Linked DNA regions of Arabidopsis thaliana. The protein of the gene in region 2 interacts with the protein of the main gene of each other region in a pairwise test. Each region holds a gene or a part of one and is shown on either strand. Other genes may lie near its edges. The genes, in order: MNS1 and CGL1.

Region 1 (6,578 bases), on a different chromosome or scaffold from region 2:
GCCAGCCGGGAATCGATGGCCATCCCGGTGGTATGGTTCCTCCTGATGTGAACCATGGATTTGCTTTGAGAAATGAGCCCATTGGCAGGTATCACTTTCCCGGCGCTGTCTTTGTTCACTTTAAAACTAAATGACTTTGAAATGCCAGAAACTGTACGAAGGAATTTTATCCACTAATTTCACATTATTGCCTTTTGGTTATGGTGTTGGCAGCGAGAATCCAGTAATGACAAGTGCAAATGTGGAGATTGTGATTCCTCAAGCATACTTAGGTCATGTCTATGGTGAGAACTGCAGTAACCTGAATTACATCAAACAGGTATGTTGCCGATAATATATGAGCAGCTGGTCATTTTGAAAGGCTGCATCTGATTACCGTTTGTAAACCTAATCAACTAGGTATCAGGAGCGAATGTGGTTGTGCATGATCCAAAGGCAGGGACTACAGAAGGACTGGTGGTTGTCTCAGGCACATCGGATCAAGCTCACTTTGCTCAAAGCCTTCTTCATGCTTTTATTCTCTGTGGTCAATCTTGATTGCTCTCTTTTCAAAGTGTGTACAATTTTAACATGATAGTAAAAAAAAGCTCTTCTACAAATCCAAAAATCATAGGAAACAGTAAAGTACCTCTACAAATTGCTGTGGCAAAAACGTTGTCCATCTGTTCTTTAAACTGATACAACAATGTGCCTCAAACTTTGTGGTAATATATAATAATATCAAATTCCATTTGAGCAGAAACTGTCTACTAAACGTTAATCTGATGACCAAACTTCCTCTGGCGTAGTGCTATAGTTGGCTTACGCGGATCATTCCGTGCCACAATCTTAAGCGGATGGGCTTCTGTGTTGAAAACCCACTCGTCTAATGAAATAACAGATGAAGGCGAAAAGAGAAGATATAGATACTTAAGAGTCTCAGCTAAGAAGAAGCTTTGCATCTTGTTGTCTTTAGCACCTGTATTGACCTGAAAATGAAGAAGCAAACGTTAACAACGTGTTTCCGAAAGATGGAAAGGCCCACTCGAGGAGGGTATCTGATTGGTTAAGGTCAGCCCGGCTCGAAACTTACATCCTTCAAGCCTACATATCCAGATTCTACGCGAGAGTTCTTCTCAAATGCTTGAAATATATTCCATCCCCACTCTTGATATGTCTTGTTCCCAGTTAATCGCCAGAGGTAAAACAGTGATTCAACGGTTTCTGGTCTTAAAATGTTCCAAGATGTGCCAACACTCATGTCCTGAAACAATCATGTGCTTATGGATACGACATAACCAACCAACTAACATACAAACAGATGCGCAAAAAGTATTTACCAACCTGCCCTGCAGTGAAGAAATAGTTCTCTCCAGCAAGTTTCGTTGGTGTCGATTGGTAAAAGTTATAACAAGTCCAGGCAAGCTGCAGTAAAGTGAGGGAAACAGCAATAAGGACACAGCAGAAAGTTATACTCAACATACAATTGAGATTCTAAGGCACCTCTCCAGCAAGTGAAAGAAACTTTTTTTCTTCATCAGGGCCATAACCTGAAGCTCCTAAAGCCAACATTCCAGGAGCAAAGCACGCCAATTCATCCATCTGAATGTTGAAATTATGTCAAAACCAACAAAATTCTCAAAGTAGAGAGTTGAAATTAGAATAGTTTTTACCTTATCAATCAAATTATTTCCGTTCTTCTCACATATATACGTAAATGATGAAGGTGTTGATTTCTTGACCAAGCTTAACAAACCTTTCATTGATTTCTCCCACATATCTCTGATTCAATACATTAAGAAAGATTTAGTCCTTATCCTTTATTGCTGATATTGAATTACTTGGGTGTATATACACAGCGTCGAGCTTTACTTACCTATAGGGTTTCACGGCAGATGTTTTGTTCCCTTGCACCCAAACTTTGAGCAAATACTCATAAAAGCTGTAAAACCAAATTATTATTAAAAGTTAGAGAGCAAAGTCATGGTCACAAGACCCGACCAACACAAAATGAAAATTTGGAGGAAGAAACTACCTATCTCCCATGGCACCAAATGTTGTGGTAGAGTACGATGGATTAGCATTATCCGGATTTATATAGATGGGAAGTAAACCATCAGCAGGAAAGTTCTTATTCAGTTCTGTAATAACCTTCTCTACCTGAGAGACATGAGTTAGCAAACGTGTCAATCTTGAGCAGCCAATATTTTCTTCAGCATTAATGCAGATTGATTGCCCACTTTTTCACACCGAGTTAGGATATAAAGAAAATCTGTTGGACAAACTCAAAATTAGTATCTACCTTCTGCTGATATTTTGGGTCCCCTGTCCTTTGGGAAAGGGCAATAAACTCGAGCTGCTCAGTGCCGGAGTCTGCGAGAATACTGTCTCCCTAGTAAAACAAAAAAAAAGTGTAGCAATCAGTAAAACTGACACAGCACATGTCCTCAATGAAACTGAAACATATCTAAACCTGATCACACTTGGTACTCATTTCAAAGACACTGCATATGATTGCTAGTGAATATATAGTTAGTTAAGAAACTATAGCTACCATAAACTCTAAACGTAACACCTGTTTAAAAGTCTAGACCCCAAACAAGAATGTTAATTGTTGCATACAGAGAAACCATAACTTGGCTGTTTCTGCCGAGTCCAGATCTTAGTTTTTATACGGGGTTGAATCATCTAAGAAAGTGGTCAGAACTTGGATTTAAGCTATCAAATAGACTCTAAGGAGTCCTTTAGAAACATAATCAGGAACCTAAGTCAACTACAGAACAAGTGCACAGAGTTTCAGGAGCCATTTTTTCTAGAAACGAATAAAGATTTGTATCCAATCATTGGATTCCAAGGTTAGGCTTTAAAAAGATCTACATGACACAAGATGACACAATACAACATACACGGCACTCAGTAATCTAGGACTCACCCCTGCCGCCCATGAAGGATTGTGAGCATTTCCATTTCTCAAGTTGATAATATTGTAAGGTATACCCGTTGGAGTATTCCATGCAGGCAATAATCTGTCTGCAATATCCTTAGCCTTTTCAAGGAACATTTTGTCCCCAGAAAGATCATACGCACTAAGAAGTCCGCCTACAACTCTGAAGGCAGATAAAGAAAAAGAATATAAGCAGATGCAATATCCGTTCCCCATCTTATGTCACCAACTGATAATCGCAAATAAACTGACTCTTCCTACGATAATTACAGAAAACAACCACAGTAAACCTGTTAAAGCCACCTTATGGTTGTCTCAAACATACTGGCGTCATAATCCTTGTCGAAATCCAATGAGCTTGCAACCCACCTGCAAATAAAAGACAATAAGCAAATGAAGATTAGCAAAGATGAAGAAGTAAAAAGTTGGATTTGCAACTGGGACGAAAACAGTTACATATGAATAAATGAAGAGCCTGCAATTACTCACTCTCTGGCTTTTTGAAACTGCTCATCTAGACCCATTATATAGAGTGTATCTAAAGAATCTACCATAGTTGCTCCAAGGCCACCAAAGCTATCAGTGCCATCTTTTGTCCGAGGCTGACAATAAAAAAAGGAAAGAAACAAGAATAGCTTCAGACCAATATTTTTTTTGCAGAGTTCAGGAAGAAAATAATCTTAGTTCTTAACAAAATCTTTGTAGGCCTGGTAACTTCAGATAAGCTCATAATAAAAGGCTCAACAGGATACTGGAAGAGCAGGCACTAAACGTCAAAATAAAATTTGATTCATAGAGTCCGTCGTAAACTAGATTTCGTATTCACAAGGGTGAAATGTATTTTGGAAAATAATTGTATACCTGAAGCTCATCTTTCCCCCATGCATACTTTTCATAAGAGCTCCAAGCATGGATCATTGCCTCTTTTACTTTCTGCCTTCGCTGTTTATCAACTGGATCTTCTGGGGCATCCTTCAGAGTCTTCAAAGGCTTATTGCCAACACCACCATTAAGCTCTTCTAACTAGCGGAAAATATAGTTAGTTAGCTAAAACATTAGAAAGACTATCTGAGCCTAGAGTGAGGGGAAAATATTAATCTTACCATCTGCTCCAACCGTGAAACTTCTTCATTTAGCTTAAAAACTTCAACCTGCAAGACAAAAAAAAGCAGGACAAGTGAGAGAATGATCACAAGAGAAATTGTTCACTTCCTTGACATTTTTCTTATTTTGGTTACATAGCTTCTTATAAACGAATACATGAATTGAGTCCAGAAGATATTAATTACAGCTCTTTTCTAGTAAATAAAACACCAACTGTCTTACTTATAGACCTTGAGCTATGAAGGCAATCAAACCATTCCAGGCCTAAACCATATAACCTACTTCACCAAAATTCGAATTGGCCTACCAATAAGCTATGATACAAGAACTATCTCCTACTCCTAGGCAGAGTCTAACCAGATTTCATTAGACAAAACATACCTCATGTTCTCGGGCAAGATTAATACGATCCCAGACAAGCATAGAAACAGAGACGAAGACAATGAAAAGCAAAGCCAAACGTCTCGGTCTTCTAAGATAATACGCAGGATTCAAATATTTCCATATCCCATAACCACTAATCGATCTACTTCTCGCCATCTCTCTTCTCAACCCACTCAACAAAAACAGAGACCAATTGAGAAATCAGTGTCCATGAAACAGAGCAAGACAAAAGTTAAAAGCTTTTAAATTTCTGATCCGAAAAGAGTAAGAAACCGAGAGAGAAATAAGTCTCTCAAAGAACAAAAGTTATAGATCCGATTTTAGTAGTTAGAAGGAGGAAGACGAAGAAAGAATTAAAAAACGAAACTTTACCCAAAAACCAAAAGAAAAGTATTTATTTATATCTCCGGCACTTTTGCTTATTTATTCTTTTGATGATAAAATAATCAATCGAGTCTCTTTAGCCCCCACTGGTTCGTCTCTTTCTTCGATTTCTCTTTCTATCTGGTTTCCATTTTCGTCTCGTTGGTGTTCTGGTGGGTTTGGTTTGTCTCTGTTCTTCTATTTGTGGCGTTATCCATCGGTTCAATTGTCATCTTCATCGTTTCCGTCGTGTTATTTGGTGTTTCTCGTTTGGGTCTTTCGAACATCTTTCATTCTTCTCTTTTTGGTGTTGCTCCCCACGAACAGGTAACATCATCTTAACTCTTATATTGGTTTCGTGTGTCGTAATGAGGAACCTATATTTCAATGGTTTTGGATGTCGCTTTGTTTCAGGATTTGCTTTTGTTTCTTAGGGTTTATTTTGTTTGTTGAAATTATAAGTGAGTTTGTGGAATTGGTATAATATGGTTTATGTAAGGCTTAGAGCGTGGAAATATTGAAACTTTGGATTGAATCTGATTGATGCAAATATGTTAGAAGTCTGTGTTAATCTCTTGAAAACAAGCATTGATCCATAAGGTTTCCTGAATTTATGTATAGTGTTAGTTAGAACTTATATGTAAGTTGCTCCAATGACCGAGGAAGTAAGGTTATATAGTATGTGAATCATGTTTTGCTTAGAGCTGATTTGATTTGTCTGGTCATCCATGAATCGTGCTTATGAAGATTAGGTGTTTTTGTTTGAAGTTTCCAGTTTTAATGTTAATTTGTTTTACTTTCACTGTTATCATTAGGTAGATTGATGAAAAGCAACCATGGATGACCTACATGGAAGCAATGCTCGAATGCACATTAGAGAAGCTCAAGATCCAATGCATGTGCAATTTGAACATCATGCTTTGCATCACATCCACAATGGAAGCGGTATGGTTGATGACCAGGCTGATGATGGCAATGCTGGTGGGATGAGTGAGGGTGTGGAAACAGACATTCCTTCTCACCCTGGAAATGTAACTGACAATCGTGGTGAAGTGGTCGACCGTGGTAGTGAACAAGGAGATCAGTTAACATTGTCTTTTCAGGGCCAAGTCTACGTTTTTGACAGTGTCTTGCCTGAGAAGGTGAGTTAAGTTGTTACTGAGTTGGTTCGTTGATTGTCTCATTCCATTAGAATTTATATTCTTACTCCAAGCCACATTTTAGCAAGTGGTTGAAGGATCTAGTTAGCTTTGAGTTTTTTCCATCTATTGATTCTAATGTGTGAGTGCCTCTTGCTATTCGACGCCTGTTGCAGGTTCAAGCTGTGCTTCTATTATTGGGTGGTCGTGAATTACCTCAGGCAGCCCCTCCTGGCCTAGGATCACCTCATCAGAACAACAGAGTATCGGTAATAAAATATATGATGGCATTTATGGGACATAAGTTCCCTTCCTTGATACATTGCTTGACTGACTGACTGACTAATCAATGAAACAGAGTTTACCTGGTACTCCTCAAAGGTTTAGTATTCCGCAGCGATTAGCTTCTTTGGTCAGATTTCGAGAGAAACGGAAAGGAAGGAATTTTGATAAGAAGATTCGGTATACAGTCCGCAAGGAGGTAGCTTTGAGGTACATTGATGTCTAAATCAACAACTTGGTCTAGTTATACTTCTTTTATGGTTGCTCTCCCAAAATTAAGGTTCGCATCTTGATTACTTTTTGTTTTCTGGTATACAGGATGCAACGCAATAAAGGTCAGTTCACATCTGCCAAGTCAAACAATGATGAAGCTGCATCTGCTG
Region 2 (6,442 bases):
GGCGTCTTTTGCCAGTTTGTGTGCTGAAACAAATCGTTGAAAGACAAAATGTATTAGAAGTGGTTTGGCTTGTAAAGAATTGCCCATCAAACAAATCCCTTACCAAGTTAGTTCACCTCCCCTTCCAAATTAGTTTGCCATCAGAGGAAAACAGAGCAAGTCCCATAGCAAGATCTGAAACATTATACGAATTTAGCATAAAGAAATCGCAATAATAAGGAGAGACATCAAAACAGGGGAATTAGAGGAAGAGATGGATGTGTACCAGACAAAGATGATAAGAATGGATGAAAATTAAGTCAGATTGGTGCAGATCCGATGATACACATTGTTGAACATGGTTTTGCAATATTCTCGCCAACGTCTCCACATCCTGACTAAAAATAACAAAAGAAGAAGATATCTTTGATTAATAGTCATCAACAGATCTGTCTCTTTAATTAGAATATTCTAAAAATGCAGGGGAACTCCACAAGGCTCTTTTCTTAGGCCTACTTCACATGAGACAAATCAAGACCTCCAATTGGTCGCATCGGAACAAACCTTTAATGATCCCATGGCCTCAGATTCTAGTTGACGGGTTATACCAGAGAAGATGGGTCGAGTGCCTTGATTGGCTACTCGCCAAAGATGTAATAAAAGTTACTTCTTTGAAGCAACACGCATTATTTAGTACATGTTTGAAGAGATATGTACACTAGCAATAGAGAAGCCAAAACAAGTGGGACGAAGAAAAACTGCATAGAATGATTTGCATTCGTATAAGTTACCCACAAGATAATCACTAATAAAACAACTGAAATATATTTAACCCTGACCCTTTCAAGGGGTTCCCATAACTTCTAAGCCAATCAGCCAGGTCACCAGAGCTTCCTTGCTGTTAAAGTTAACCCCACCGCTCGACAAACTCATCCATAAATAACAATACAACCTAACAGCTGCTAGAAGGAGGCTGCATGCGGTCCAAAATCTTCTTTTCCTTTCATCTGCTTGTGAAACCCGGTTAGCACAGAACTGTAAGCAATGGTTAAGATGTAAATGATGCTGGTTGGAGAAGTACATGTTTTGCATCAGGAATTTCGAATTCCAAGCTGCATTACAGAATCTGGCCCAACCAGGAATACACGTCTTGTTGTCTGGATTCGAAACACCACTACTCCTTTATATGCTGTTCGAGGCACACCATCCTACACAATCAAAGGGGTACAAAAAAAGTGACCCATTTGGACCTACAATTATTGAAGATTATAGTTCAATCATCTCAAATTTACCTTCCATTCTTCAAATATACCAAATTCCCCTGCAATGCGTTCAAACTCTACTTGGTCTTTATACCGGATACGAACATCATCCTTTATGTTTTGAGCCTTTAAGACAAGGTCAGAACCTTGAATTGGTCGTGCTTGTCTCACTAAGCCAGAAAAGTACTTGGTATAGTTTCCCTTTGATAGACATGAGAGAACAGGTTAAAAACTACATTTCTCCACTCAAAACATGCAAAATGGTATAAAAAAAAAAGGCCGGAGTTCTGTAAATGTTACCTCTGTCAGGTATCCCAGGTCCTTTGCTTTCCAGTCAACCTTTATGAATGAAATAGGAAACCAGTGAAAACTAGTGATGCAACAAAAGGGGGTAAAAAACACACTTACGCTTACCGTCACATCGTTTAGCTTTATAGGTTCCAGATACTGACTGAAAAACTGTCCCAAACTAGACCCCTGCCAAATTAATATAACAAGGTTATGGATAAGTATGAAATGCAAAAATATATTATGTGGTATTGACTGTCTACATCCATGTGTCGGGAAACTATAGGACGAAGCTGCAATAATACATTTTTCATACAGAAAGCAGAAGTCATATGCAGCGAACATAGGTCAATTTAACAGCATTACAAAAACAGACTTGTAAAACTATGATATATAGGATAGCATAATCGGGTACTAACATGTTCACCAAAATTGTATGTTCTACAGACTTCCGGTCGAATGAATTGGCGGCCTTTATGGTTTTCCTTTAGTCTCAGCCAATCATCCCAGTAAGTGGATATTTGTTAAGAAAAGTCTTAGAAACGTCAAACTATTTTTTTTTTTAGAATTTAAGAAGCGTCAAACTATAGTCATCGAGATTGAAAGAAAAAAAAGCATATAAGGATATGCCTTTGGCCACTTTGGTGATAACTCATCCCAAGTCGATCTCTTGAGCATCCACCCAAGGCCAGGAAAAAAATCTGATCGGTATAGCGCATCTGCAGATTATTTTAGCTCGCATGAGCTAGACATAATGAGGTATTGAAAGAACAGGCAAGAGAGGAAGCAAGGTAAAGAAGAAGAAGAAGAAGAATCTTACAGGGATCATGCACAAACTGCTTCTGTCCATTATCATTCCATGATGAAGCAGCCATAATGGTTCTAACACATGTTTGGACCAGAAAAGAATGAGAAACAGTAATAAAAACATTTGTATACTCTGTGGAAACTTATACTATAAGAGTCTAGCTTCAGTAGGTAACATACTTATCCCTATCCATGAGACTAGCTGCAGCCTCAAAGTAATCAAAGAAGTCTGGAGCAATTTCCATATCATCTGTTAAAGAGACAAGATAACCTCTCTTAAGCAATACTCCACAAGGTAAAGACAGCCCCTCTTAAACAATACAACAGCAAGGTACGATGAGTGTGAAAGGTTAAAAAGCGCCACCTTCTAGTATAATCACTCGACTAAATTTGTGTTTGTAAAACAACTGGTCCAGTGCCCACTTGTAGTGACCTGTATTAAAAAGTGTTTCAGTAATGGAGCTGGAGGGACGCAGAGAAAAGAGAAACCAGTCCTTACGTGCAATCTTGTAGTACGCAGTCAGTTCGCCAGGCCTTTCAGTGACCACTGGTTCAAAATCCAAGTGCTGAAAAGGGGAAAACGAGCCTTCATCCTCATTTATCTACTTGAACAGTGAGGAGAAAAATCACGCTAGATTAAATTACCTGCATATATGTTAATTGATTATAGCTCAATGACTTGCTCTTGACAGCTTGATCAGATCCATCCTGTCAGAAAATATGTCGTTGGAAAAGACCATGGTTAGTAATTCGTTGAATATAAAACAGTCTAAGAGACCACCACCCTGCAAATTAAGTACCTGAGATATAAATAGAGGATATTTTGAAGCAACGGGAGTTTGATATCTGTATAAAAAAAGAAATAGCCATTAGATAGTTCAATCAAAATGTGGTATAAGAATTAAATCAGTATAGTATCTCACGTTAAAACTGATTTAACAGTCCTTTCAAGATAGTCTGCACGACTGCAGGCCATAACCACTACAGCAGCCACAGGCATCTGCTAAATAAAAAACAAGAAACAGGTTAGATGTATATATATAGCAAGTGATAGCAGTTACAAATACGAAGAAAGGCATCTTCTTATCCAGACCTGTCCACCTTGAGTGAGTTTTGCTATTCCTTTTTCTGGAGGAAGAAAATAAGCATTAGTAGAAAAACTAATAAAAAGAAAGCAAGAAAATGAGTTTTACAGGTGATAGTAAGGCACTTTCAAACGTCTGGATTAGATCCTTAAGCTGCACAAGTTCTTCGTCCTGGCGGTTCTTCATATCTACAAGACACTCAGAAATCAATGTATAAGTCTTCTACTCCATTTAGAAAGTTAATTTTGTATAGTATTCAATAGGTTCCAAGAACCATGGTCATCTAGGATTCCACAAGTCCCAATGAGGAAAGAAGAAGGGGATATACCTTCGAGGGCAACAATCCGCGACTGTTTGATGCTAACTTCATCTATGAGGCCTCGCATTTGACTAGTGCAATGGTTCTCAGATTCGATCTGGAGAAACAAATGAAAGGCTGTGTATAGATCTTCATCACACACCAGGAAAAAATCGAAATACCAAAGGCAATGATATGGTGTAATAGTGCAGATAGTGTCTTCTTCTTGAAAGTAGTTCATGGGCTTGTAAAGAGCCAAAAAATGGGATTTCAAAAGGAACTAGTAGCAATGGTCTAAAGACAAAAGGCAGTGGTAAAAGTAGAAACTCACAGCGGAACTGAGGCGATCTGCATACTGTGATTGCGTCTGGAAAAGCCTCATCTAGAGAAGAGAAGAGAGGATAATTACAGACAGATTTAGGTTGCAGCGATGGAATCAATTTCAGTTTCAACTTCAAAAAGCGAGATCATCGGATATAGATTGACCTGGATGTAGATGAACATGAAAGCTGCCGGGATGAGAAGAAATCTCAAGTCACACGAGATCCTCGCCATATCGACGACAAACAACCAGATCAAAACCGGTGGATCTTCTGGTGTTTGCCGCCGGGAGGGAGCTAGCTAATAAGGAAGTTGTTTGAAACGGCGTCGTGCGTTATAACAAAAACGGTACCGTTTCCCAGTAAAAATGATAAGATGACCATTTCATTTCATCCATAAATAGAGCCGAGCTTCTTCCTCTGTAAATCTCTGACAACAAACCAAAAAAGAGAGTCCACCAACTCTACACGCAATTCATCCAATTATCTTGCTGTCGCCATTCGCCAATATCCATCCCCATCTTCTTCGATTTCTGAGATTCGGTCGAAAATCATCAGATGGGTTTTCAGAACGAAGCTAGCTCCTCCTCTTATACCCTTAAAATACCTCCACCGGCCAGAGAGGACTCGCCTCTTCTCGGCAAGGGACCTCCCCTCTCCAGCCAGTTTAAGACCTTCGCCAACGTCTTCATCGCTGTCGTCGGCGCTGGTGTTCTTGGTCTTCCTTACGCCTTCAAGCGAACCGGATGGCTCATGGGTGTCCTCCTCCTCGTCTCCGTCTCTGTTTTGACCCATCACTGTATGATGCTTCTTGTCTATACCCGCCGCAAGCTCGACTCTTTCAATGCTGGCATCTCCAAGATCGGCTCTTTTGGTGACCTTGGATTCGCCGTCTGCGGCTCCTTGGGGAGGATCGTCGTTGACTTATTTATCATTCTGTCTCAAGCTGGTTTTTGTGTCGGATATCTTATCTTCATCGGCACTACTTTAGCTAATCTATCCGATCCTGAATCGCCCACCAGTCTGAGGCATCAGTTTACAAGGCTGGGTTCTGAATTCCTGGGCGTGTCTTCTAAGAGTCTCTACATATGGGGATGCTTTCCCTTTCAGCTCGGTTTGAATTCGATCAAGACGCTCACTCACTTGGCTCCTCTCAGCATCTTCGCCGATATTGTTGATCTTGGCGCTATGGCTGTGGTCATTGTTGAGGATTCCATGATTATACTCAAGCAAAGGCCTGACGTGGTTGCCTTTGGTGGTATGTCCCTCTTCTTGTATGGTATGGGCGTCGCTGTCTATTCCTTCGAAGGCGTTGGAATGGTCTTGCCTCTTGAATCGGAGATGAAGGACAAGGACAAGTTTGGCAAAGTCTTGGCTCTCGGCATGGGATTCATCTCTCTCATATACATCGCATTTGGTATCTTAGGTTACTTGGCTTTTGGTGAGGACACCATGGACATTATCACTGCTAACTTGGGGGCAGGACTTGTCAGCACTGTTGTCCAGCTTGGACTGTGCATCAACCTCTTCTTCACCTTCCCCTTGATGATGAATCCAGTGTTTGAGATAGTGGAGAGGCGTTTCTCACGCGGGATGTACTCTGCGTGGCTCAGATGGGTACTCGTCTTAGCAGTGACTCTGGTGGCTCTTTTTGTGCCAAACTTTGCAGATTTTTTGTCATTGGTTGGCAGCAGCACTTGCTGTGTGTTAGGCTTTGTGTTACCTGCATTGTTTCATTTATTGGTGTTCAAGGAAGAGATGGGGTGGCTGCAATGGAGTTCAGACACAGCGATTGTGGTACTAGGTGTGGTTCTTGCTGTGTCGGGAACTTGGAGTTCCCTGAGTGAGATCTTCTCTGTCAAAGTGTGAGCGTCCGTGAAGTCAGAGATTGGAGAGGTTTTTCTCTCCTTGTGTGCAATTATGTATATGGAATTGGTTGTGGTTTTAAGAGTAACTGTGATTGTATTTGTATTTTGATGGTTTGGAATAAAAGAGATCAGCTCTGTCTTCTGTTTTGTGTTTACATGTACAACATATGTGAGAGTTTTGATTTCTCAATGTTACAAGCAAGGGAAGCTCGCGAAATAAGCCTGGCTAGCTAATCAAATGCTTTGGTTTTGTATTATTACAAACTGTTGAGTGTGTTCCTTCCATGAATCGCCTTCTTCAAGATGCCTCTCGTAGAAGCAAATCTCACCATCACCACCACCATCTCCATGGGACTTGACGATGATCGCAGAGATGCTTCTGGTCCCATAACGCCCCTGTATCTCCATGAGTGAGACTGAATATTTATGGAAAGTGTTAAACAAACAATCAATGTACTCTAAAAAAGGAAGGTTACAGTTGGTCTCTGCATGTCGACGAAGATGGAGCTGAGATGGTATTCCGTCTCTGGTGTGA

The links.
Region 1: the proteins of CGL1 (region 2) and MNS1 come close enough for resonance energy transfer, tested with the Arabidopsis thaliana proteins (one study listed by BioGRID).

What each region holds. Positions count from the first base shown.
Region 1 is NC_003070.9:19,127,566-19,134,143, forward strand, and holds MNS1 (alpha-mannosidase 1), read right to left. Parts: upstream 4,754-6,578; 5' UTR 4,568-4,753; coding exon 4,409-4,567; intron 4,075-4,408; coding exon 4,027-4,074; intron 3,947-4,026; coding exon 3,785-3,946; intron 3,526-3,784; coding exon 3,413-3,525; intron 3,293-3,412; coding exon 3,227-3,292; intron 3,087-3,226; coding exon 2,912-3,086; intron 2,540-2,911; exon of another isoform or gene 2,372-2,539; coding exon 2,282-2,371; intron 2,140-2,281; coding exon 2,015-2,139; intron 1,922-2,014; coding exon 1,856-1,921; intron 1,762-1,855; coding exon 1,653-1,761; intron 1,582-1,652; coding exon 1,483-1,581; intron 1,405-1,482; coding exon 1,324-1,404; intron 1,244-1,323; coding exon 1,073-1,243; intron 969-1,072; coding exon 750-968; 3' UTR 579-749; downstream 1-578. Other genes in the region: AT1G51580 (RNA-binding KH domain-containing protein), read left to right, coding at 6-88, 214-319, 400-537; ZML2 (ZIM-LIKE 2), read left to right, coding at 5,611-5,916, 6,090-6,182, 6,272-6,405, 6,514-6,578. UniProt on the Arabidopsis thaliana protein: Class I alpha-mannosidase essential for early N-glycan processing. Progressively trims alpha-1,2-linked mannose residues. Produces Man(5)GlcNAc(2) from Man(8)GlcNAc(2), but only Man(6)GlcNAc(2) from Man(9)GlcNAc(2).
Region 2 is NC_003075.7:17,930,936-17,937,377, forward strand, and holds CGL1 (alpha-1,3-mannosyl-glycoprotein beta-1,2-N-acetylglucosaminyltransferase), read right to left. Parts: upstream 4,391-6,442; 5' UTR 4,275-4,390; coding exon 4,206-4,274; intron 4,102-4,205; coding exon 4,051-4,101; intron 3,838-4,050; coding exon 3,750-3,837; intron 3,610-3,749; coding exon 3,547-3,609; intron 3,465-3,546; coding exon 3,430-3,464; intron 3,337-3,429; coding exon 3,260-3,336; intron 3,183-3,259; coding exon 3,137-3,182; intron 3,045-3,136; coding exon 2,982-3,044; intron 2,903-2,981; coding exon 2,836-2,902; intron 2,770-2,835; coding exon 2,701-2,769; intron 2,587-2,700; coding exon 2,517-2,586; intron 2,412-2,516; coding exon 2,350-2,411; intron 2,249-2,349; coding exon 2,158-2,248; intron 2,043-2,157; coding exon 1,949-2,042; intron 1,719-1,948; coding exon 1,656-1,718; intron 1,581-1,655; coding exon 1,542-1,580; intron 1,443-1,541; coding exon 1,272-1,442; intron 1,188-1,271; coding exon 1,071-1,187; 3' UTR 635-1,070; downstream 1-634. Other genes in the region: CPK26 (calcium-dependent protein kinase 26), read right to left, coding at 1-23, 117-166; AT4G38250 (Transmembrane amino acid transporter family protein), read left to right, coding at 4,598-5,908; AT4G38260 (transport/golgi organization-like protein (DUF833)), read right to left, coding at 6,142-6,303, 6,384-6,442. UniProt on the Arabidopsis thaliana protein: Initiates complex N-linked carbohydrate formation. Essential for the conversion of high-mannose to hybrid and complex N-glycans. Required for normal root growth and morphology.